Linked DNA regions of Saccharomyces cerevisiae S288C. The protein of the gene in region 1 binds, or shares a complex with, the protein of each later gene. Each region holds a gene or a part of one and is shown on either strand. Other genes may lie near its edges. A codon is read from its position in the direction of its gene.

Region 1 (4,409 bases):
TGATTCTATCAACTTGAATCTAGCTCCTTACGCAAGCGGTGTTGCCGCTACTGGCACTATTAAAGCTACTGAAAACGATATTTTCAAGCCATTGACACATGACAATATCTGGGATATGGATGGAGGTACCACCTCCAAGGGAGTCGATATTAAATTAGCCTCAGCAACCACCATTAGTCAAACAGATGAATCTCACAAGCAAGAATACAAATCGACCACTATGCTGGAAAAAGGGAAGAAGGAAAAATCCGAATCTGTAGCAAAAGCGTTATTGGATGAACAAGAGAAACGGAACAGAGAACTCAAAAGGAAGGAAGAAGCTCGCTTATCGAAGAAACAAAAGCAAAAAGAGGATGATTTATTGAAGAAACAAAAGGAACAAAAGGAACAAAAGGAAAAAGAAGCTTTGGAAGCAGAAAAGCAAAAAAAATCAGAAAAGACAAAAAAGGACACACAAACACAAACAGAAGGCTTTAAGACATCAAAAGATTTGCCTTCATTAAATTCCTCAAGCGCGAATCCGGCACCATGGGCCTCAAAAGTCAAAGTTAACAATGCAATCGAAACTTCAATTAAAAATGGTGTAAGTAGCACTGGAAAGAAGAAAGGAGAACCCTTAGGTCTACAACAGAGGAACAGCAAAGAAGAAAAGCAAAAGGAGGAACTAAAATCCGTGCTTAACTGGGCTAACAAGTCCAGCCTACCATCGAATCAAACTATTGATATTAAATCTCAGTTTCAAAAAAGCCCAAAAGGGATGAAAGAGTCGTCTCCGTTAAAGGAGTTGGAAGATCCAAATTTCATAGAAGAGCAGAAAAAACTATGGGAAAAGGTTCAGAGTTCTTCCAAACAAGTAAAGTCCACATCCTCTGCATCTACTACCACATCTTCTTGGACTACGGTGACTTCTAAAGGGAAAGCACCTATAGGAACCGTTGTCTCCCCATATTCAAAAACCAATACCAGTTTAAATTCTTCATTAACGGCAAAAACTAGCACAACTTCTACTACCACTACCTTTGCTAGCATGAACAATGTTTCTCCCCGGCAAGAATTTATCAAATGGTGTAAATCACAGATGAAATTAAATTCTGGAATAACCAATAACAATGTCTTAGAACTATTATTGAGTTTACCTACGGGGCCAGAATCTAAAGAATTGATTCAAGAAACAATTTATGCCAATAGTGACGTTATGGATGGTAGAAGATTTGCCACTGAATTTATTAAAAGACGTGTTGCGTGCGAAAAACAAGGTGATGATCCACTAAGTTGGAATGAAGCGCTAGCTCTATCAGGCAATGATGACGACGGCTGGGAATTCCAAGTAGTGAGCAAGAAGAAGGGTAGAAAACACTGAAAGGAAAAGCTTCATAATTTTTTCTTTTCACTGCATATTTCTTTATCATTTATTGTTATTGTATATACTTTATAACTATTTTTTAACGCAGATAATGACAAATTCTATACATATTTTTAAAAAAACACTGAACGAGCGAATACATATCTTTGCACACAGTAGGCACTAATTGACTAATCTTCCATCATTATTTATTTTCAGCTCCCACTCTTTAATACACACTTCTTTCCGTTTCAAGATTGATTGATAACGTCTAGAGAGAGCTTGATTAAAGCAAATTTCTTTACAAACCATAACGAACAATTGAACCCAGCCCGGTTGCAATCTTTCAGCTTCTTGTAAAGTATCTTTAAATTCCAATTCAATTAATTTAACTTCAGTTTCAAATCTCTTCCAGTAATCCTCCCCAATAGAGCCATTTTTATATAGAAGGTTTATCTGAGGAGCCAACTCTTTTAACTTTAATGATCGTCTAACAGATTCTGCTCCTCTGTTCAATAAAGCGGCCTTCAACACCTTCTCGTGAATTTTTTCATTTTCACTCATTTCCTTTATTTGGAAATACAGATCATGGGCATCGTTTTCGTCAAATATGGATGGTTGCTCACTAATTTTTTTGGCCTGCTTCTTTCTGTAGCTTGAAGCAAACATCACAAGGGACACCACCAGAATAAAGACATATATGAGTGGGGTATAAACGGAGATTGATTTCGTCTCCACAATTGGCTCTTCCGTTTCAAAAAACGTCCCGTTGTTGGAGAATTTTGTTTCATTAAATTCGGACATATTGGCAAACTCAAGTAGTTGTGCGTACCTCTTTCCTGTACTTGAATTCGTTTAAATAAGCCATTTCATTAATATTTCATCAATTTTTTCACATATTATTTCAACTTTTAGACGTGTTCCTAAAACTTTTGACGTTTTTTGGCGGGTAATAAGATGCGTCTACCCATTTTAAGGAACGCCCTCGTAACATACAGAACGAAGAGTGGCAAATAATAGGACAGTACTCTGAAGAAAAATTTCCCTATACTACTGATATCGATATACATTTAAGTGAAGTATGCTTATCAGATTTAGATCAAAAAACGGTACACACAGGGTTTCTTGTCAAGAAAACGACCTTTTCGGAACGGTCATTGAAAAGTTGGTGGGTAATCTGGACCCCAATGCCGATGTCGACACATTTACTGTTTGTGAGAAGCCCGGTCAAGGTATTCATGCTGTTTCTGAACTAGCTGATCGAACAGTGATGGATCTAGGACTAAAGCACGGTGACATGCTGATCCTTAACTATTCGGACAAGCCCGCTAATGAGAAAGATGGTGTCAATGTTGAAATCGGATCCGTAGGTATTGACAGCAAGGGAATTCGTCAACACAGGTACGGTCCACTAAGGATCAAAGAACTCGCTGTAGATGAGGAACTAGAGAAAGAGGACGGATTAATTCCTCGTCAAAAATCAAAACTATGCAAGCACGGTGATAGAGGTATGTGTGAATACTGCTCGCCTTTACCTCCTTGGGACAAAGAATATCATGAGAAGAATAAGATCAAACATATATCGTTTCATTCATATCTTAAAAAGCTAAATGAAAATGCTAATAAGAAGGAGAACGGCAGCTCTTATATTTCCCCTCTTTCAGAACCTGATTTTAGAATCAATAAGCGTTGCCATAATGGCCATGAACCATGGCCTCGGGGGATATGTTCTAAATGTCAACCATCGGCAATTACATTACAACAGCAAGAATTTAGAATGGTTGACCACGTTGAATTTCAGAAGAGTGAAATAATTAATGAATTTATTCAGGCGTGGAGGTACACGGGTATGCAAAGATTTGGCTATATGTACGGATCTTATTCTAAGTATGATAACACACCTTTAGGTATAAAGGCCGTCGTTGAGGCGATATACGAGCCCCCTCAGCATGATGAGCAAGACGGTTTAACCATGGACGTAGAACAGGTCAAGAATGAAATGCTACAGATTGATAGACAGGCTCAAGAAATGGGGCTTTCGCGAATTGGCCTAATATTTACAGATTTATCTGACGCGGGAGCTGGGGATGGGTCTGTTTTTTGCAAAAGACATAAGGATTCGTTTTTTCTTTCATCATTAGAAGTTATTATGGCTGCTAGGCATCAAACAAGGCATCCTAATGTAAGCAAGTATAGCGAACAAGGTTTTTTTTCTTCCAAGTTTGTAACTTGCGTTATATCAGGTAATTTGGAAGGTGAAATTGATATTTCGAGCTACCAAGTATCCACAGAAGCTGAAGCATTGGTTACTGCAGATATGATAAGTGGGTCCACATTTCCTTCAATGGCATATATTAATGACACTACAGATGAAAGATATGTACCTGAGATATTTTACATGAAGTCGAATGAATATGGTATAACAGTGAAGGAAAATGCGAAGCCTGCATTTCCGGTAGACTATCTTTTAGTGACGCTGACTCATGGGTTCCCGAATACCGATACGGAAACCAACTCGAAATTCGTTAGTTCCACCGGATTTCCATGGAGCAATCGACAAGCTATGGGGCAATCTCAAGATTATCAAGAATTAAAAAAGTATTTATTCAATGTGGCTTCAAGTGGAGATTTCAATCTTTTGCATGAAAAAATCTCGAACTTTCATTTACTATTATACATAAATTCTCTGCAGATACTCTCTCCAGACGAATGGAAGTTACTAATAGAATCTGCTGTGAAAAATGAATGGGAAGAATCTCTACTAAAACTTGTCTCATCGGCTGGTTGGCAAACGTTAGTCATGATCCTTCAGGAAAGCGGCTAGGAGAGACTGTAAGATTTGAGGTTTTAGATTAAAAAAATAGAAATGCGCGGAAGGTAAAATTGAGCCTTTTTTATTTTAAAACTATGTAAATCATCCAAAATAGTAGACGTTTCTAGAACGTCCCCTTACCAAAAATCACATCATACGAGGAGTTTTAAGGAACAATAACTGGGAGTCGCTTTTACAAATTGGTATATATTAAGGTACTCTTGATATAAACCAAAGGACTTTGCCGTTTAGAGA
Region 2 (10,487 bases), on another chromosome or scaffold:
GATTTGTATTTGAGGGAACTAAAAGACACCAAACTGGCTCCAAGTACCTTGCAAGATGCTGAAGGTAATGTTAAGCCTTGGAACCCACCACAAAAACCAAATCTACCAGAATTGGAACTTCAAGGCCCAGAGGCTTTAAAGGCTTACACCGAGCAAAATGTAGAAACTGCTCATGTTGCTAAAGAGTCTGAAGAGGGTGAGTCAGAGCCAATTGAAGAGGATTGGCTAGTTTTGGATGATGCTGAGGAAACCAAAGAAAGTCATTGAACTTTTCATAGCATCCTCCTTGTCGAAGAAAAAACAAACAGAACCACAAGCTGAACAAGATCATTATTTTTGGCTTTCTTCCTCTCATCTTTTTATATTCGAATCCAGTACAATAAAGAAAAAGCAAAATACACTACGCACTCTTTGTAATCAGCCACACAAAATGCAGAATTTATTTTTTAAACAAAAAATACAATTGTACATAGACACGTCTTTATCTTTCCTATTACTACTATTCTTTTATTTCAATAACTATTACTTTCTAAGTATGACCTACGCTTCTTTGGTAAATAAATAATGATCCGTTTATGAAGGACATGCGTGGTTCGTCACCTTAGGATAATATCGCTCTGGACGAAAGCTCATCCCACCGAGATAGAAAAAAAATTTTCGTTTCTTTTTTCTTTGGCGAAGATTTTGAAAAATTTGAACTGTATGATCAACTTTTCCTCACCTTTTAAGTTTGTTTCGTTTTTAAACAGGAAGAACTGCTCCTTCAACATTTTTCCCTCAATCGATTTTTAGTCCAGTACAAAAGGAAAATCAAATAAACTCATTTATATTATAAATGTCTGCCCCAGCTGCTAACGGTGAAGTTCCAACATTCAAACTAGTTCTTGTCGGTGATGGTGGTACTGGTAAGACCACTTTTGTCAAGAGACATTTGACCGGTGAATTCGAAAAGAAGTACATCGCCACCATTGGTGTCGAAGTGCATCCTTTATCCTTTTACACCAACTTCGGTGAAATTAAATTTGATGTCTGGGATACTGCCGGCCAAGAAAAATTCGGTGGTTTAAGAGACGGTTACTACATTAACGCCCAATGTGCCATCATCATGTTCGATGTTACTTCCAGAATTACTTACAAGAACGTTCCAAACTGGCACAGGGATTTAGTCCGTGTTTGTGAAAACATCCCAATTGTCTTGTGTGGTAACAAGGTCGATGTCAAAGAAAGAAAGGTCAAGGCCAAGACTATCACTTTCCACAGAAAGAAAAACTTGCAATACTACGATATTTCTGCCAAGTCCAACTACAACTTTGAAAAGCCTTTCTTATGGTTGGCCAGAAAATTGGCTGGTAACCCACAATTAGAATTTGTTGCTTCTCCAGCTTTAGCCCCACCAGAAGTCCAAGTCGATGAACAATTGATGCAACAATACCAACAAGAAATGGAACAAGCTACTGCTTTGCCATTGCCTGATGAAGATGATGCTGATTTATAAGGGACAAACGAGAACAAGCTTTCTTTTTTCCCTACCCTAAACTGTATACATATTTACATTCATCTCGATATAGAAATTCAATAAAAATCCACATGATTTTGAAGATTTTATAATTGCAACAAGAAAACACAAACTAACTGGTACTCCTGTCTTTTATAAAACAGATTTAAATATATAACAAATAGTTGAATGTGAATATGCTGTGATTTAAGTATATTTAAACGTATTTGGCTTGTCTAATATTATATTTTTTAGATCGTTTATGGATCGTTTCAAACGGATGTAGGAGCACACGTAACAATTAGATTATATCTTTGAACATAAAACCAATAGCCTTAAAATCAAAGAAACGTCTCCTTCAACTTGCGTTAAAGGCATACCAAAGCAAGCTTATTCAACCATGGTTACCCTTGAATACAATGCAAACAGTAAACTGATCACTGCGAGTGATGCTGTTGTTGCACTATCTACCGAAACTAATATCGATCAAATAAATGTTCTCACTACATCTTTGATTGGAGAAACCAACCCAAATTTTACACCACAACCGAATGAAGCTCTAAGCAAAATGATCAAGGGTTTATTTGAAAGTGGTATGAAGAATTTACAACAAAAAAAATTGAATGAGGCATTGAAGAATGTTTCTTTAGCAATCGAAATGGCACAAAGAAAAAGAGCGCCTTGGGAAGCTTTTGCTATTCAGCTACCAGAGCTACACTTTATGCTTCGTAGTAAAATAGATTTATGTTTAATACTCGGAAAGCATTTAGAGGCGTTGCAAGACTTGGATTTCTTACTTGGTACGGGACTTATCCAACCAGACGTATTTGTCAGGAAGGCGGACTGTTTGCTAAAATTGAGACAGTGGGAAGAGGCTAGGGCAACATGCGAGAGAGGTTTAGCTTTAGCCCCAGAGGATATGAAACTTAGAGCCCTTTTAATAGAAACTGCAAGAAATCTGGCCGAATATAACGGTGAATAAGGTGCATAACCGAAGATATTTTAGCCTTTTCTTGATATGTCTCTATGCTACACACGACTACATAGCAAGAAATTTTAGATAGATTCAAAAACACATAGCAAGCCCATTATCATATATACTAAGGAATAGCCTTTATGAAAGGCTTTGAACTATACAGCTTGAGTATATGATACCTCTGCTTCCCAACCGCAAGCTTTTTTTCTTCGTGATGCTGAAAAAAAAAAATGGACATAGAAAAAACCTTCATAAATGAAACAGACCATTCATTACTCGTGCGGAACCAGTAAACACAACACGCCAACTTTCGAACTTTTGCCCAACATAAGATGTCCTCTCAAGCATTCACTTCAGTACATCCGAATGCGGCAACATCTGATGTGAATGTTACCATTGACACTTTCGTTGCTAAGTTAAAAAGAAGACAAGTGCAAGGTTCATACGCCATCGCCTTGGAAACTTTACAACTGTTAATGCGATTTATCTCTGCAGCTCGTTGGAACCATGTTAATGACCTTATTGAACAAATCAGAGATTTAGGTAATAGTCTAGAAAAAGCTCATCCTACTGCTTTCAGTTGCGGTAACGTAATTAGAAGAATACTGGCTGTTTTGAGGGATGAAGTAGAAGAAGACACTATGAGCACAACTGTCACATCCACATCCGTTGCTGAACCTTTGATTTCCTCTATGTTTAATTTATTACAGAAACCGGAGCAACCTCATCAGAATAGAAAAAATAGTTCAGGGAGCTCTAGTATGAAAACCAAGACTGATTACCGTCAAGTAGCCATTCAGGGTATCAAGGATCTTATAGATGAGATAAAAAACATTGATGAAGGTATTCAGCAAATTGCTATTGATTTGATTCACGATCATGAGATTTTATTAACTCCCACACCTGATTCAAAAACCGTATTAAAATTTCTGATTACTGCTCGCGAACGTAGTAATAGAACATTTACGGTTTTAGTTACAGAGGGGTTCCCTAATAACACCAAGAATGCACATGAGTTTGCCAAAAAATTAGCACAGCACAACATAGAAACCCTAGTAGTCCCAGACTCAGCTGTTTTTGCTTTAATGTCCCGTGTGGGTAAGGTTATTATCGGCACTAAAGCCGTTTTTGTCAATGGGGGGACTATCTCGTCAAATTCAGGTGTATCATCCGTTTGTGAATGCGCCCGAGAATTTAGAACCCCTGTATTTGCTGTTGCAGGTTTGTATAAGCTTTCTCCTCTATATCCGTTCGACGTAGAGAAGTTTGTCGAATTTGGTGGGTCCCAACGTATATTACCTAGAATGGATCCAAGAAAAAGATTAGATACAGTTAATCAAATTACCGATTATGTTCCGCCTGAAAATATTGATATCTACATTACAAACGTCGGTGGGTTCAATCCAAGTTTTATATATCGTATTGCGTGGGATAATTACAAGCAAATTGATGTGCATTTGGATAAAAATAAGGCGTGATGATGTGTCTTTTGTACATTACTCATGAAAATAAATAAAAATCTTGTAGATCAAAACAATTTTTTTATTATTAATTATTAGTATATAATCAGAATATTTACGTATCCTTGAATATGTTAAAAGACTAATACATAAAGAGCATCTTAGCATTAACTTTTTACTTCTCTACAAAGTCTGGCAATTTGACTCATTTTTTTTTTTTAGTTGAGTGTCTCCTCGTAATGCCATCTTGTCGCTTTTGCATAATAGAAAAACAGGAAAACATTGAAAAAATAAAAAAATAAGGGAAATATGTATCGTATACAAAAATACAGCTAAAGCTTGAACTGAAGTAGAAAATGATACCAAAGCTTATAGTTTTTGGAGGCAATGGATTTTTAGGTAAAAGAATTTGTCAAGAAGCAGTGACTTCGGGCTACCAAGTCGTTTCTGTGTCAAGGTCCGGTAAAGCTCCTCATAGCAATGAATTAAATGATAAGCAATGGATGCAGGAGGTCCAATGGACCGCTGCTGACATTTTTAAGCCTGATTCTTACCATGAATTATTGAATAATGCTACTAACGTAGTTCATTCTTTGGGAATCCTCCTAGAAAATGAAAATTATAAGCAAACTCTATCCAAATCCCCTACATATGATTCAAAATCACGCCTTCTATCTTTTGGTGCAGGTCCAAATCCTTTAAAAAAAAGCAGTCCTTATTTTACTTATGAAATGATGAATAAGCAAAGTGCTATTATTTTGGCAGATACATTTAAACAAAAAATCCTAAAGAAAAGCAAAAAGGAGCAAGAAAAAGCAAATCAAAGATCTTTTACGTATATTTCCGCCGATAAAGGTTTCCCATTGATTCCTAGTGGCTATATTAATTCGAAAAGAGAGGCGGAGATTGAACTAGAAAAAATGCAGAGATATTTCAGGCCTATTATTGTGAGACCCGGTTTTATGTTCGATGAGCACAGAAATGCAATTGGACCACGGTCTTTTATTCATACTGCACTTGAACTACTTTACTGCGGTAACAAATTTCTATTGAGAAATAAGCTGCAGCTTTTGAACGACTTGATTAGGCCAACAGTATCCACTCAGCAGGTAAGCAAATCCGTCCTGAAAAATATCGAAAACCCAGATTTTAAAGGGGTAGTTACACTTGAGGAAATACTTAAAGCATAATGATTATGCCATTATTATATTTATTAATCTATTTTTCTCTTTTATTTACAAATGAAAAGTACTTAACTATATACAGCTTGGTATAATTTTAAAATGGTAATAACAATAATATGCAATGCTAACGGCGCAAAAAAGCCTGATATGCCTCTTGGTTGATTTGAATATTACCTACAGTTTTCATATGCTTTTTACCCTCTTTCTGTTTCGCCAAAAGTTTTTTCCTTCGTGAGACATCAGAAGCATGCAGCTTTTGGAGAACATCTTTTCTTCTTGCCTTAATTGTTTCTCTAGCTATTATCTTGTTATTAGCTCGGGCCTGTATAACGACCTCATATAATTGTGATTTAACATACTCTTTAAACTTCTTCACCCATTCTCTACCCACTCTCTCTACTTCCGATTTATGAAGTACTCTTGACAAGGCATCAATCGCATTTCCATTAACCAAGAGTTGCAGTTTTACAACATCAGAAATTCTATAGCCAGCATCCTCATAATCTAAAGAGGCAAATCCTCTGGACACCGATTTTAATTTACCAAAAAAGTCATCAACTAGATGCGATAGCGGAAGGTAATATTTTAACATCACTTGTCCATTGGTGTTTAGGTATGTTATATCAATTTGTTCTCCTCTATTACTATCGCATAAGCGTATGACACTACCTAAATATTCCTGGGGCAATGTCATAACTGCCTCTATAAACGGTTCATGGAAAGCAGCAACGTTCACCCTCTTTGTTGCTCCGTCTGGAAACTCATCCGGATTTGTTATAAGCTTTTTCTTACCATCGGTAAACTCCACCAAATAAGGAACTGTGGGTTGAGTAATGATCAATTTCGAACCATACTCTTTTTCTAGTCGTTCACGAAAAACAGATGCATGTAAAGATCCTAAAAAGCCCAATCTCCAACCTTGACCCAAAGCATTGGAGGTCTCACGTTCCAAAGTAACTGACCTATCGTTGAGGACAAGTCTACTCATATCATCATCCATGGCTTTGAATTCAATCCCATCAGCCGGGAAAGCACCCACAAATACCATGGGTTTTTGTTCTTCAAATCCGGGAAGTACTTCCGTTTCATTTACTTTACTTAAATGCATTATAGTATCTCCAATTTTTGCTTCTTTAGAATCCTTCATTCCCAGCACTAGATAGCCAACCTGTCCTGTCTTTAGCGTACCTGTAGAGGTTCTGTCAGGATACATGATTCCAATATCTTTGACTTCGTATTTTTCTTTTGTCTGAGCACAAATAACCTTGTCATTTTTACGTACAGAACCATCAACAATATTCACTAGAAGAACCGCTCCTAAGTATGCGTCGTACCAAGAATCCACTAATAATGCTCTGAAGGGTTTATCAGGCCTCCCCGTTGGTGGTGGTATACGATCAATTATAGCCGGTAGTAACAGTTCCTCTACATTTAATCCTGTTTTAGCACTTACTCCGATTATATCTTCCTCGGGGAGCTCAAAGTTATTCACTATCTGATCCTTTACCTGTTTAACATCTGTAAAATTTAGATCAATTTTGTTTATTACTGGAATTAATTTCAATCCTAAACTGAAGGCTAAATAAAAATTAGCAACCGTCTGTGCTTGTATGCCTTGTGATGCATCAACCAAAAGAATTGCTCCCCCACAAGACGCATATGACCGTGAAACTTCACCTCTGAAGTCCACATGTCCTGGCGTGTCAATTAAATGTAAAAGATAGTTTTTTCCGGTCCTCTTATCTTTATAAAACATCGAACATGTTTGCGCCTTTATAGTAATACCTCTTTCTCTTTCGACTTCCAATTTATCCAAAACTTGTTTATTTCTCGCATTGGGATCGATGACATGCGTTATTTCCAGCAGTCTGTCACTTAAGGTTGACTTCCCATGGTCAACATGGGCAACTATAGAGAAATTTCTGTAATTTTCGAGAGGTATTTGCTCGATCTGTGCTTGTAACTTCTGTGCAGGGGTAGTCGTATGGTTATATCGTAAGAAATATGCGTGTCGTTTATAACACCGTATATGTCTCACTGGCCTAATTCTAAATTTCAGCATTTTTATGTGCAACTAGTTTCCCATATTCATGGCTCTTTTTCAATGGTTGCGGCTACAAATATAGGCGAGTTATACTTGCCCTCGTCTATTATTCAACTTTTTTATTTACATCAAAATAGCAACATAAACATACGGAGATGATGAGAGAAAAAAGAAGACAAAAGGTGTGTCTTAATTCAGTTAAATGAAATTAAAATTGATAGTAAATGGTTGTGAAGCACCTGATGATTATAAATTGCTAAGAACTACTATCAATACAGTTGCTTCGCTACGAAAGACGGCTATCTTAAGATTTAATAGTGAAAGATTGACAATAATATCCACTCCAAAATCATCACTCAACAGCAGTAACAACGGTACAATATTACGAGGGGATACTGGTCAGCTTTGGTGTACCATTCCTCATGATGTATTCAGATTATATACAGTTATATCAGCTCGCGAGCTCAATACAATAACAATGGAGTGTAATTGTGATTCTTTATTGAGTGTGTTTAAAAGGTATGATCGAGTAATGAACCAAGGATCTTCCTCTAATATGACTATAAAACTACAGTCAATGCCAGAATGGAATACAAATAACGGAACACTTTCAGGAGGAACAGCAGGAGGCGTAGATACAACCTCAAAACCGAACCCCATTTGTGCTCTAGGTATAACATTCGAAGAAATTGTACATACTAGCGGCCCAAATGACGCTATAGTTATGAATGGGGGAGTGGATGAGCACAATGGTTTACCAACCACAGTAGGCACAGGAAATCTACTCGCAAGCAATAAGGTTATCATGCATTCGTTCAAAGTACCTGTCAAACTATTATTCCGAGCACAAGATACGCGAATACAAGAGCCAATGATTAACTATATTCAACTGATGATGTACAAGCTGCCACCAATATCGGGCGAGTTTGGCTCCGCCTTCCACGGGTTTATTAGACGTGTTGAACGGTACAGTAATGTCAACCACATTCATTTAATGGGAGTCAAAAAAAAGGAGCATGGAAATGAAGGTGATGATGTAGAACTTAAGATAATTGTGAATGAATTAGATTGGCATTTGGAAATATGCTGGAATGGACCCTTAGACTCTGTGATACAACGCCAAGAAGGGCTCACTGACAATCCTTCCCAAAACCAGCACATCGACACAGACGGCCGGCAGGAGGAAGGATCTCTTCCGATTATCGAAGCGGATAAACCGATGTCTTCACTATATACCAATACTAGAGATCGAGAGATGGAAGAAAATATCCGCTACGATGAAGATTTATTAAGAATTGAGGATAGCTCGATCGCAGATACGCGGGGAAACATTTACACAGCTGATACTAGCGGTGATACTGAATTTAATGACATATCCGTTATGGTGGAAAAGGCTGAACAGGAAAGTTCGTCCACACATGAAGTAATCATCCGTTGCAAAGATTGGAAGGTGTGTTCCAAGTTATACGCTGCATTTGAAGAAGTTGTTTTGGCGATTTCTCACGACGAATCCTGCGTATTCCACTGTTCGTTGGATCGTGGTAGCTTGGAAGATAGCGAAGATGTGGAAAAACCAAGGGAAAGAGGACAAATCATATATTATATAGCAAGATCGAAGGGCTTGTAAACCCTACAGCGGTACATTTCTTTGCTACGTTGCTAAGGAAACTCTTTAAATCTGACATGGCTGAGAACTGCAGAGTTGCAGAGTTGCAGACTATCACATCCGTACATATGTATAAAAAAATCCGTGCTTTACATACTAACTGCTTTTCTTTTTTCCGTTCGAAAAAAAAAAATGTCGTGAGGTTGTCGGAAACCTCAGAAAAAATAGATAGAACAAAACAGCCTTACGAACGGTATGTTGCATTTTAAAGGCTACATGAACTGCACATTAAATTTGCCACTGTAATAATCTTCCATATCCCCATACAAAAACTACGCAAATATGGTACGTAATGCCTCATTAGGATTTTAAAATATGAAAAAAATGGACGTTTCAGCGAGGAATGAATAACAAGAAATAGCTAATTTGAATATATTACTGGTGTTTCATATCTATATATACCGCAGAAAAAGAAATAAAACGCAATATATCTTTAAACTGGCTCCACCCTGAGAATATGATAGGAAACTTTTTAAATTTGAGTTCTGTTACATCAAAAACGTAATTGCTTGACACAGATTTTTCGAGGGCAACAGCGTGGACTTAACATAATGTCGAGTTTAATAACAACATTTTTTGACGGAGAGTTAAAAAGGCTTTGAGAAAATAGCAGAGTGAAGTTTATTTTTAGCATCCTTGCTGATACGCCAAATAATTCAAAAATTCACTATACTAACATGGTCATTAATTTTTAATATTAATATTATTTATTTAGGCTAAAGTTCATGGTTCTCTAGCTCGTGCTGGTAAAGTCAAGTCTCAAACACCAAAGGTTGAAAAAACCGAAAAGCCAAAGAAGCCTAAGGGTCGTGCTTACAAAAGATTATTGTACACCAGAAGATTCGTTAACGTTACCTTGGTTAACGGTAAGAGAAGAATGAACCCAGGTCCATCCGTCCAATAAGAAAATTAACAGTTGTGGAAAAGGAGCTTAAAAGTAACAAGAAACAAAATAGCAGTCATGCCATCTTTACTTCAAGATAGTTTTTGACTTGTATTTGTATTTCCGTTATGCGTTTTTTACTTTAAATATAAAGCAGTATTGAAATTATGTAAGTAGTGTTAACTATAAATTATTTCTTTAGGACTTTAACTTCGCAAAATTATGCTATTCATATTATCGATTTACTTCTTTGCTGTCTTGGTGTGATGCTTTTATTAATAAGGAGGATCTTGCCGTACCTAGGGTTGGCAAACGTTTTTCTAGTTGTTTTTGAATGGGCGCTTCATAATGTGGCAATGAAAAAAAAAAAACTAGAAAAAAACTGCAATGATCTTGACGATGACATGAAGCCTCCTTTTAACAAAATCCATTGAGGTCAACAAGCATCACCAGAGACGCCTATTATAAACTTTATAAGAGAAATACCAGTTATACAATAATGTCTACTGGAAGCAGTGATAGAAAGGATGACGTCAAATTATTGGAACTGCTGAATTCTATAGATGAACAGTTTTTAGTGCCATACAAAAAGCCGGAAGACTTGCGTAAAATCTCCTCTACTACCAAACTACAAGGTTCCACCCCAACTAAGGAACTAGACAAATTAGCCTCTGTATTGAAGGCACATTGCACAAAAATAGGTATTGTTTGCAAGCCAGGAACTTTTGATAACAATCATAAAGTTGTGATTACCGAAATCCAAAATTTTAGTAGGCCAT
Region 3 (7,566 bases), on another chromosome or scaffold:
TGAAAAACTAAACTTCACATCAATAATCAAAGGTTTGTTATTTTGGAAGAAAATCGGTAGCGAATGGGCGTCATGGACTCAAGGTTGGGAGAACATAGTATGGTCGCATGGGGATGGTATAGAGCCCTCCTTACTTTCAATTAATAGGTGGACATGGAATAAAAAATTGACTAATATTGGTAGAAGAACATGCTCTCCGGCGGGTCTACCTAATAGATCATTTTATAAGAACGTTTTGTTCGGACCAACATTGATACAGGAGGATAAATCTAAAAATGGTGGAAATGTAGATTTCTGGACATTTCCAGGAGTGATGGATGCGATTTACGATGATGACTGGAAGAGGGCTCAAGAACAAATTGACCTTATTGGCAAAGTACTCCATCAGTCTGCTGCATTGTTTGTCGAAGAGACTAATGACATCGGGTATAAATAAATTGAACTGAAAGAATACATATTGTAAGTATAAGGAAGTATGTTAATAAAATTTTTTCTTTAATTATGTAATACATGGCATGCAAGCATTTCTTCTTTTTGGGATGCTTTTCCTCTTAGTATCCTATGTTTGTATATATCTTTTTGTTAAATGACACGAGAGAAGGAGACAATAGGATAATTTTGAAATTTCTGTATCACAATCGTATCTAGTTTCTTCTCTACACCTTTGTTTTGACGCGATGTTTCCTCTTCAAAAAGCTTCCCAAGCAACTTAGATTTTCCAATCTCCTGATTATTTCGTTTTTCTTTAGAAGATTTTTTAGAATGCCTGTGCAAAGAGTGATAATCTTTAACTCTCAGGGAATGGTCGTCACAAAATCTGATATATACCGAAGAGACTTCTTCTTCTACATCCTCTTCAAGAACACTAGGCCTAGTCTGCATCTTATTACTCCTACCCCCTAATTTGTCACTTCTTATAGTATTTTTATCGTGAAATATTATTTTAACATCAGCATGGTTTGCTGTGACTTTCTTGATCTTTCTAACGGTTTCTGCGCACTGTTGGTGTTCAACTTTGTGGATGCTTCCGTCTTTTCTCTTTAAATTATTGCCAAAAATTTCATTGTGATAGAACCTTAGGGCATATTTTCTTTTGCTTAATTTTAAACGAGACAAATTGTTCCTTTGCAGTACATATACCCTTGGTGATTCTTGGCAACCCTTGGGAAACCTTGCAATCAGTAGTGGTTTCTTTTTGGAACTTCCTGGACATAGTCCAGACGGTTCATTTATCATGTCCTCAATGTGTATTTCGGAGAGGGGGCTCAAGTTCCAGCGAGTATTATATTGGTGAATGTGAAGTTTGTGGACATGCCACCTCCTCTTTAATTTCCGGCCACTGAACAGTTGACACAGTCGAAAATATAGGTAAAAAAAATGACCAGATTTGGACTTTCTCGGTGAAGGTGGTGCTCTCATGCTTCTTTTCTATTTTGAGTTATTAACGTCTTAGCTTTATAATGTCACAATCTGACTTCATTACTGACACAATCGCTCTTATAACGCGAATTGGTCACTCGTTACGGAAAGGCGTTTTCTGAAAAATTTGTCTTGAACACGTCGAAGATCACTGAACGAATAAAAGATGCGACTGGAACAATAGTCAGTTATAATTGACCAAAGAAGGCCTTCGCAACAAAATAAATATACTGCATATTACAGCACAATGCCTACAAATTACGAGTATGATGAGGCTAGTGAGACGTGGCCGTCCTTCATTTTAACGGGGCTCTTGATGGTCGTCGGGCCTATGACACTGCTTCAAATATACCAAATTTTTTTTGGGGCCAATGCTGAAGATGGGAATTCAGGGAAGAGTAAGGAGTTTAATGAGGAAGTTTTCAAGAACTTGAATGAAGAATACACCAGTGATGAAATCAAACAATTTAGAAGGAAGTTTGATAAAAATAGTAATAAGAAGTCCAAAATATGGAGCAGGAGAAATATTATAATTATTGTGGGTTGGATCTTAGTTGCAATTCTTCTGCAAAGGATTAATAGTAATGACGCGATTAAAGACGCTGCTACAAAATTATTTGATCCTTATGAAATCCTTGGTATCTCTACTAGTGCTTCCGATAGAGACATCAAATCTGCTTATAGAAAATTATCTGTTAAATTTCATCCAGATAAATTAGCAAAGGGCCTAACACCTGATGAGAAAAGTGTGATGGAAGAAACTTATGTTCAGATTACGAAGGCTTACGAATCCCTTACTGACGAATTGGTTAGGCAAAACTATTTGAAATACGGTCATCCAGATGGCCCACAATCTACTTCACATGGTATCGCTCTACCAAGATTTTTGGTAGATGGAAGTGCATCTCCATTATTAGTGGTTTGTTATGTTGCGCTACTAGGTTTAATCTTGCCATATTTTGTTAGTAGATGGTGGGCAAGAACACAATCGTATACTAAGAAGGGAATACATAATGTGACGGCTTCTAATTTTGTTAGTAACTTAGTCAATTACAAGCCATCTGAGATTGTCACCACAGATTTGATCTTACACTGGTTATCATTTGCTCATGAATTTAAACAATTCTTCCCGGATTTGCAACCAACGGATTTTGAAAAACTTTTGCAAGATCATATTAACCGCAGAGATAGTGGTAAACTTAACAATGCGAAATTTAGAATAGTGGCCAAATGTCACTCTTTGTTACACGGTTTATTGGATATTGCTTGTGGATTCAGAAATTTAGATATTGCATTGGGTGCAATCAATACTTTCAAGTGTATTGTTCAGGCTGTACCATTAACACCAAACTGTCAAATCCTTCAATTGCCGAACGTAGATAAAGAGCACTTTATTACCAAAACCGGAGATATTCATACATTAGGTAAATTGTTTACTTTAGAAGATGCCAAGATTGGTGAGGTTCTTGGAATAAAGGATCAAGCAAAGTTAAACGAAACTTTGAGAGTTGCATCGCATATTCCAAATCTAAAGATCATCAAGGCAGACTTCCTTGTCCCAGGTGAGAACCAAGTAACACCATCATCTACCCCATACATTTCTTTGAAAGTACTGGTTCGTTCTGCTAAACAGCCATTGATACCAACTAGCTTAATTCCTGAAGAAAATTTAACAGAACCTCAAGATTTTGAATCTCAAAGAGATCCATTTGCTATGATGAGTAAACAGCCACTCGTCCCATATTCCTTTGCACCATTTTTCCCTACAAAGAGACGTGGGAGTTGGTGCTGTCTGGTAAGTTCTCAAAAAGATGGTAAAATACTTCAAACGCCAATTATCATTGAAAAGCTATCTTACAAGAACTTGAACGATGACAAAGATTTCTTTGATAAGAGGATAAAAATGGATTTAACCAAACACGAAAAATTCGATATAAATGATTGGGAAATCGGGACCATAAAAATTCCATTAGGTCAGCCTGCACCTGAAACTGTTGGTGATTTCTTTTTTAGAGTAATCGTTAAATCCACAGATTATTTCACTACAGATTTGGATATTACCATGAATATGAAAGTTCGTGATTCTCCTGCAGTGGAACAAGTAGAGGTGTATTCTGAGGAGGATGATGAGTACTCTACTGATGACGACGAAACCGAAAGTGATGATGAAAGTGATGCTAGCGATTATACTGATATCGATACGGATACAGAAGCTGAAGATGATGAATCACCAGAATAGATATAAGTGATTAGTATAGTTTTTCATTTTAGCTCTTAGACGTATATATTTCATCTTTATAAAAATAGATACATGTGTATACAAAGCAAAACCAAAAAAAAAAAAAAAATTTTTCAGCCATCTGTTAAGAAATGTGTTTTTTCAATAAGATAGCATCTTGTTCGTCGCCATTTACACCTTTTATGAAATTGTTGACAGTTTCGCCCACTTGTTCGAAGCCATGAGCTATAAACCATTGCTTTGTAAGATCATCCACTGCTGGTAAATAGACAAACACGTTATGTTGATGACATTCTGAGCATTTGTCTTCTGCAAACTTCAGTAATTTTGAACCGATGGATTTGTGCCTATAATTAGGCAACACGCCCAAAAATTCGATTTGAATGCCCTTGAGAGATAGTTCGTTTTGTTTTTTAGGAACTAATTTAGCAACCAAACCACCCACTGGTATTTCACTGTAATAAGCCATCTGTGTGAAATGTACATCCTTCTTCGAAGATGGCTTTTTATTTTTTGCAACTAAGCTATCCTCAGCGAATAATGCACTGAAGAAGGCATCTTGATATAAGTTTGGTACTGTCACATGAGCTAGTTTGGTTAGCATGCCCAAATTGTTAGCGTAAACATTGTCTAATGTGCATATATCACGGCCCATATTTCGCACTACTCCCTTCAATTGTCTTTGCCAATTTGTTTGTTACGGATTAATTTGTGAAAAAGCTTCGCTAATAATATCAATTTTCTTTTTTTTCTTTGCTTTTTCTACTATAATATACATAAAATTATATAAAGAGCATATAAACCATAAAGATTCCTCTGCGACACTTCTTATTCATTTCCTCCAACGACTTGTTCACCTTTATCATTAATTCTGATCAATCTTAGAGTATTCAAAAGGCCAAAAGTGCCATTCCAGTTTCTTAGAAATTCCATATTCTTCGCATCACTCAAGTCTGGACAGAGAAACCCCGCCTTAAATTCTTTTAACTCTTGATCCCTCCTTTGTTGCAGTAGCACTTGTCTATTGCTTGGTGGCCTGTTTGACCTCCTCTTCTTCTTGAGTTCGTCTAATTCCGTATCATCTCTTTCAATAAAACTTTGAATAAACTCTCTTGTGTGGGCGTGATCAAATATTGGTTGCCCTTTGAATGTATCAGAGTTAACTACATCCTGCATAAATTTTACCCGAGCTAGTTCGTGGACTCTTTTGTCTTGATGAAGCTTCTTTTTGGCTGCGATTTTATCTTCACGCATAGTAGCCCTGACCAGCTTTTCATACTTTCTACCCTTCGGATGAACCGTGATATTTTTCCCTTTCTTGGATAAGTTCTTTTGCAACTTAGATAAAGATTTAGTAACCGGCATGATTAGTTTGTCGTGGTAAGTCCTGTTCCGATACTTTTCTTCTTAGAAAGTACCTTTAAAGAGCTCATCTCTCATCTCGTCTATTAAACCATTTTAAAATTTTCGCTCGGGATGTTCAGCTGTGTACAATAATACAGCGTAAGTGCATTCAAACAATGAGGACAAAAGCATAAAGTTGTGAAGAAAATTGCCCATACATTCAATGCCATTATTTGATCTTATTTCTCCAAAAGCGTTTGTTAAGTTAGTGGCCAGTGAGAAGGTTCATAGAATCGTTCCAGTTGATGCAACATGGTACCTACCCAGTTGGAAGCTTGATAATAAAGTGGATTTCTTGACCAAACCACGTATACCAAACTCCATTTTCTTTGATATTGATGCAATCAGTGACAAAAAATCGCCCTATCCACATATGTTCCCTACAAAGAAGGTTTTTGACGACGCTATGAGTAATTTAGGAGTTCAAAAAGATGATATATTAGTGGTTTACGATCGTGTTGGTAACTTTAGCTCCCCTAGATGTGCTTGGACATTAGGAGTGATGGGACATCCTAAGGTGTACTTACTAAATAATTTCAACCAGTACAGAGAGTTTAAGTACCCTCTAGATTCCTCTAAGGTGGCAGCGTTTTCACCCTATCCAAAGAGTCATTATGAGTCCTCAGAAAGTTTCCAAGACAAGGAGATTGTAGACTATGAGGAAATGTTCCAATTGGTAAAGAGTGGGGAACTGGCTAAGAAATTCAATGCTTTCGATGCAAGGTCGCTCGGTAGATTCGAAGGTACAGAACCAGAGCCTCGTTCCGACATTCCATCGGGGCATATTCCAGGTACCCAACCATTACCATATGGAAGTTTACTTGATCCGGAGACCAAAACGTACCCAGAAGCTGGGGAGGCGATACACGCTACTTTGGAAAAGGCATTGAAAGACTTTCATTGCACTTTGGACCCAAGTAAACCAACTATTTGCTCTTGTGGAACTGGCGTTTCAGGAGTCATTATCAAGACAGCATTGGAGCTAGCAGGAGTTCCCAATGTTAGATTATATGATGGATCCTGGACCGAGTGGGTCTTGAAATCCGGGCCCGAGTGGATTGCTGAAAACAGAGATTAATAAGAGAAATATATTCTTGACAAGTCGATTTATTTAGCTACATATATTAATTATCTATCTACTTACTTAAAGGGCGATCTCCCTTTCTTTGTCTTATTTGTGCTCTTCATTGTTATTGCCCGGTAAAATAGAAAATAACAGCAAAAAATAAGACTGCTGGCAAAAATGAGCAGAGACCTTTCTATCGAGGGAAAAGAACAAACTATTAATTCTTTTCGAAATTCCAACACGATTAAACCATCATGGCAAGTCTACCTGGTATTGATGAGCATACTACCTCTGAAGAATTGATAACTGGTGATAACGAATGGCACAAGTTGGTTATTCCCAAGGGCAGTGATTGGCAAATTGATCTTAAAGCAGAGGGAAAACTGATAGTCAAGGTAAACTCGGGCATAGTTGAGATATTTGGCACCGAGTTGGCAGTAGATGATGAGTACACTTTTCAGAACTGGAAGTTTCCCATATACGCTGTCGAAGAAACAGAATTATTATGGAAATGTCCTGATTTAACTACGAATACAATAACTGTCAAGCCTAACCATACTATGAAATATATTTATAATCTACACTTCATGTTGGAGAAGATACGAATGTCTAACTTTGAAGGCCCTCGAGTGGTGATTGTTGGTGGTTCGCAAACCGGGAAGACTTCCCTATCGAGGACACTATGTTCTTACGCTTTGAAATTCAACGCTTACCAACCACTATACATCAATCTTGACCCTCAACAGCCCATTTTTACTGTTCCTGGATGCATATCTGCCACCCCAATATCAGATATACTTGATGCACAACTACCCACTTGGGGTCAGAGTCTCACTAGTGGTGCCACACTACTACATAATAAGCAGCCAATGGTGAAAAATTTTGGCCTGGAAAGGATTAATGAGAACAAAGATCTATACCTTGAGTGTATAAGCCAGTTAGGTCAAGTAGTAGGTCAAAGGTTACATTTGGATCCTCAAGTCAGGAGATCAGGGTGCATTGTCGATACGCCATCAATATCACAACTGGATGAAAATTTGGCTGAACTGCACCATATCATTGAGAAACTCAATGTTAACATTATGCTAGTACTATGTTCTGAAACGGATCCTCTTTGGGAGAAAGTAAAAAAGACATTTGGTCCAGAATTGGGAAATAATAATATTTTTTTCATTCCTAAATTGGATGGTGTATCCGCAGTTGATGATGTATACAAAAGATCCTTGCAGAGGACATCCATAAGAGAGTACTTTTACGGCTCTCTTGATACAGCCTTGAGTCCTTATGCTATTGGTGTTGATTATGAGGATTTAACTATTTGGAAACCTAGCAATGTTTTCGATAACGAGGTCGGTAGGGTGGAACTGTTCCCCGTCACTATAACTCCAAGTAACCTACAGCACGCTATTATAGCCATAACGTTCGCAGAAAGAAGGGC

What was found.
Region 2: the proteins of SEC66 (region 1) and SEC72 are in contact, whole or in part, in a cryo-EM structure (PDB 7KAO), measured with the Saccharomyces cerevisiae proteins. Residues at the interface, in NP_009730.3 of Saccharomyces cerevisiae: Ala71 (codon at 1,936), Leu74 (codon at 1,927), Gln77 (codon at 1,918), Ile78 (codon at 1,915), Met81 (codon at 1,906), Ile87 (codon at 1,888), His88 (codon at 1,885), Lys90 (codon at 1,879), Val91 (codon at 1,876), Lys93 (codon at 1,870), Ala94 (codon at 1,867), Ala95 (codon at 1,864), Leu97 (codon at 1,858), Asn98 (codon at 1,855), Trp159 (codon at 1,672), Leu162 (codon at 1,663), Met165 (codon at 1,654), Val166 (codon at 1,651), Glu169 (codon at 1,642), Ile170 (codon at 1,639), Phe172 (codon at 1,633), Asn173 (codon at 1,630), Gln174 (codon at 1,627), Leu176 (codon at 1,621), Ser177 (codon at 1,618), Arg178 (codon at 1,615), Arg179 (codon at 1,612), Tyr180 (codon at 1,609), Gln181 (codon at 1,606), Ile183 (codon at 1,600); in NP_013395.1 of Saccharomyces cerevisiae: Thr3 (codon at 1,902), Leu4 (codon at 1,905), Tyr6 (codon at 1,911), Lys11 (codon at 1,926), Ile13 (codon at 1,932), Asn27 (codon at 1,974), Ile28 (codon at 1,977), Gln30 (codon at 1,983), Ile31 (codon at 1,986), Leu34 (codon at 1,995), Thr35 (codon at 1,998), Leu38 (codon at 2,007), Ile39 (codon at 2,010), Glu41 (codon at 2,016), Pro44 (codon at 2,025), Asn45 (codon at 2,028), Phe46 (codon at 2,031), Pro48 (codon at 2,037), Ile85 (codon at 2,148), Glu86 (codon at 2,151), Gln89 (codon at 2,160), Arg90 (codon at 2,163), Ala93 (codon at 2,172), Pro94 (codon at 2,175), Trp95 (codon at 2,178), Glu96 (codon at 2,181), Phe98 (codon at 2,187), Gln101 (codon at 2,196), Leu102 (codon at 2,199), Leu105 (codon at 2,208).
Region 3: the proteins of SEC66 (region 1) and SEC63 are in contact, whole or in part, in a cryo-EM structure (PDB 6N3Q), measured with the Saccharomyces cerevisiae proteins. Residues at the interface, in NP_009730.3 of Saccharomyces cerevisiae: Asn69 (codon at 1,942), Lys109 (codon at 1,822), Leu113 (codon at 1,810), Gln116 (codon at 1,801), Ile117 (codon at 1,798), Leu120 (codon at 1,789), Asn123 (codon at 1,780), Gly124 (codon at 1,777), Ser125 (codon at 1,774), Ile126 (codon at 1,771), Gly127 (codon at 1,768), Glu128 (codon at 1,765), Asp129 (codon at 1,762), Tyr130 (codon at 1,759), Arg133 (codon at 1,750), Arg178 (codon at 1,615), Arg179 (codon at 1,612), Ser182 (codon at 1,603), Arg186 (codon at 1,591), Val189 (codon at 1,582), Glu193 (codon at 1,570), Trp194 (codon at 1,567); in NP_014897.1 of Saccharomyces cerevisiae: Gln247 (codon at 2,405), Thr250 (codon at 2,414), Lys251 (codon at 2,417), Lys252 (codon at 2,420), Asn256 (codon at 2,432), Ala259 (codon at 2,441), Ser260 (codon at 2,444), Val263 (codon at 2,453), Val267 (codon at 2,465), Asn268 (codon at 2,468), Tyr269 (codon at 2,471), Lys270 (codon at 2,474), Pro271 (codon at 2,477), Ser272 (codon at 2,480), Glu273 (codon at 2,483), Ile274 (codon at 2,486), Thr276 (codon at 2,492), Ile339 (codon at 2,681), Gly342 (codon at 2,690), Phe343 (codon at 2,693), Arg344 (codon at 2,696), Leu365 (codon at 2,759), Pro367 (codon at 2,765), Thr528 (codon at 3,248).

The regions. Positions count from the first base shown.
Region 1 is NC_001134.8:576,101-580,509, reverse strand, and holds SEC66 (Sec63 complex subunit SEC66), read right to left. Parts: upstream 2,147-4,409; coding exon 1,526-2,146; downstream 1-1,525. Other genes in the region: SMY2 (Smy2p), read left to right, coding at 1-1,360; NPL4 (nuclear protein localization protein 4), read left to right, coding at 2,424-4,166. UniProt on the Saccharomyces cerevisiae protein: Acts as a component of the Sec62/63 complex which is involved in SRP-independent post-translational translocation across the endoplasmic reticulum (ER) and functions together with the Sec61 complex and KAR2 in a channel-forming translocon complex.
Region 2 is NC_001144.5:711,779-722,265, reverse strand, and holds SEC72 (Sec63 complex subunit SEC72), read left to right. Parts: upstream 1-1,895; coding exon 1,896-2,477; downstream 2,478-10,487. Other genes in the region: ATP14 (F1F0 ATP synthase subunit h), read left to right, coding at 1-267; Ran GTPase GSP1, read left to right, coding at 836-1,495; GCD7 (translation initiation factor eIF2B subunit beta), read left to right, coding at 2,804-3,949; ubiquinone biosynthesis protein COQ11, read left to right, coding at 4,288-5,121; GTPase GUF1, read right to left, coding at 5,240-7,177; MEC3 (Mec3p), read left to right, coding at 7,362-8,786; 40S ribosomal protein eS30 RPS30A, read left to right, coding at 9,108-9,110, 9,541-9,729; YLR287C (uncharacterized protein), read left to right, coding at 10,208-10,487. UniProt on the Saccharomyces cerevisiae protein: Acts as a non-essential component of the Sec62/63 complex which is involved in SRP-independent post-translational translocation across the endoplasmic reticulum (ER) and functions together with the Sec61 complex and KAR2 in a channel-forming translocon complex.
Region 3 is NC_001147.6:801,124-808,689, reverse strand, and holds SEC63 (protein-transporting protein SEC63), read left to right. Parts: upstream 1-1,666; coding exon 1,667-3,658; downstream 3,659-7,566. Other genes in the region: TRE2 (putative zinc metalloprotease), read left to right, coding at 1-436; OSW1 (Osw1p), read right to left, coding at 583-1,419; peptide alpha-N-acetyltransferase subunit NAT5, read right to left, coding at 3,783-4,313; TMA16 (Tma16p), read right to left, coding at 4,487-5,023; TUM1 (thiosulfate sulfurtransferase), read left to right, coding at 5,226-6,140; cleavage polyadenylation factor subunit CLP1, read left to right, coding at 6,383-7,566. UniProt on the Saccharomyces cerevisiae protein: Acts as a component of the Sec62/63 complex which is involved in SRP-independent post-translational translocation across the endoplasmic reticulum (ER) and functions together with the Sec61 complex and KAR2 in a channel-forming translocon complex.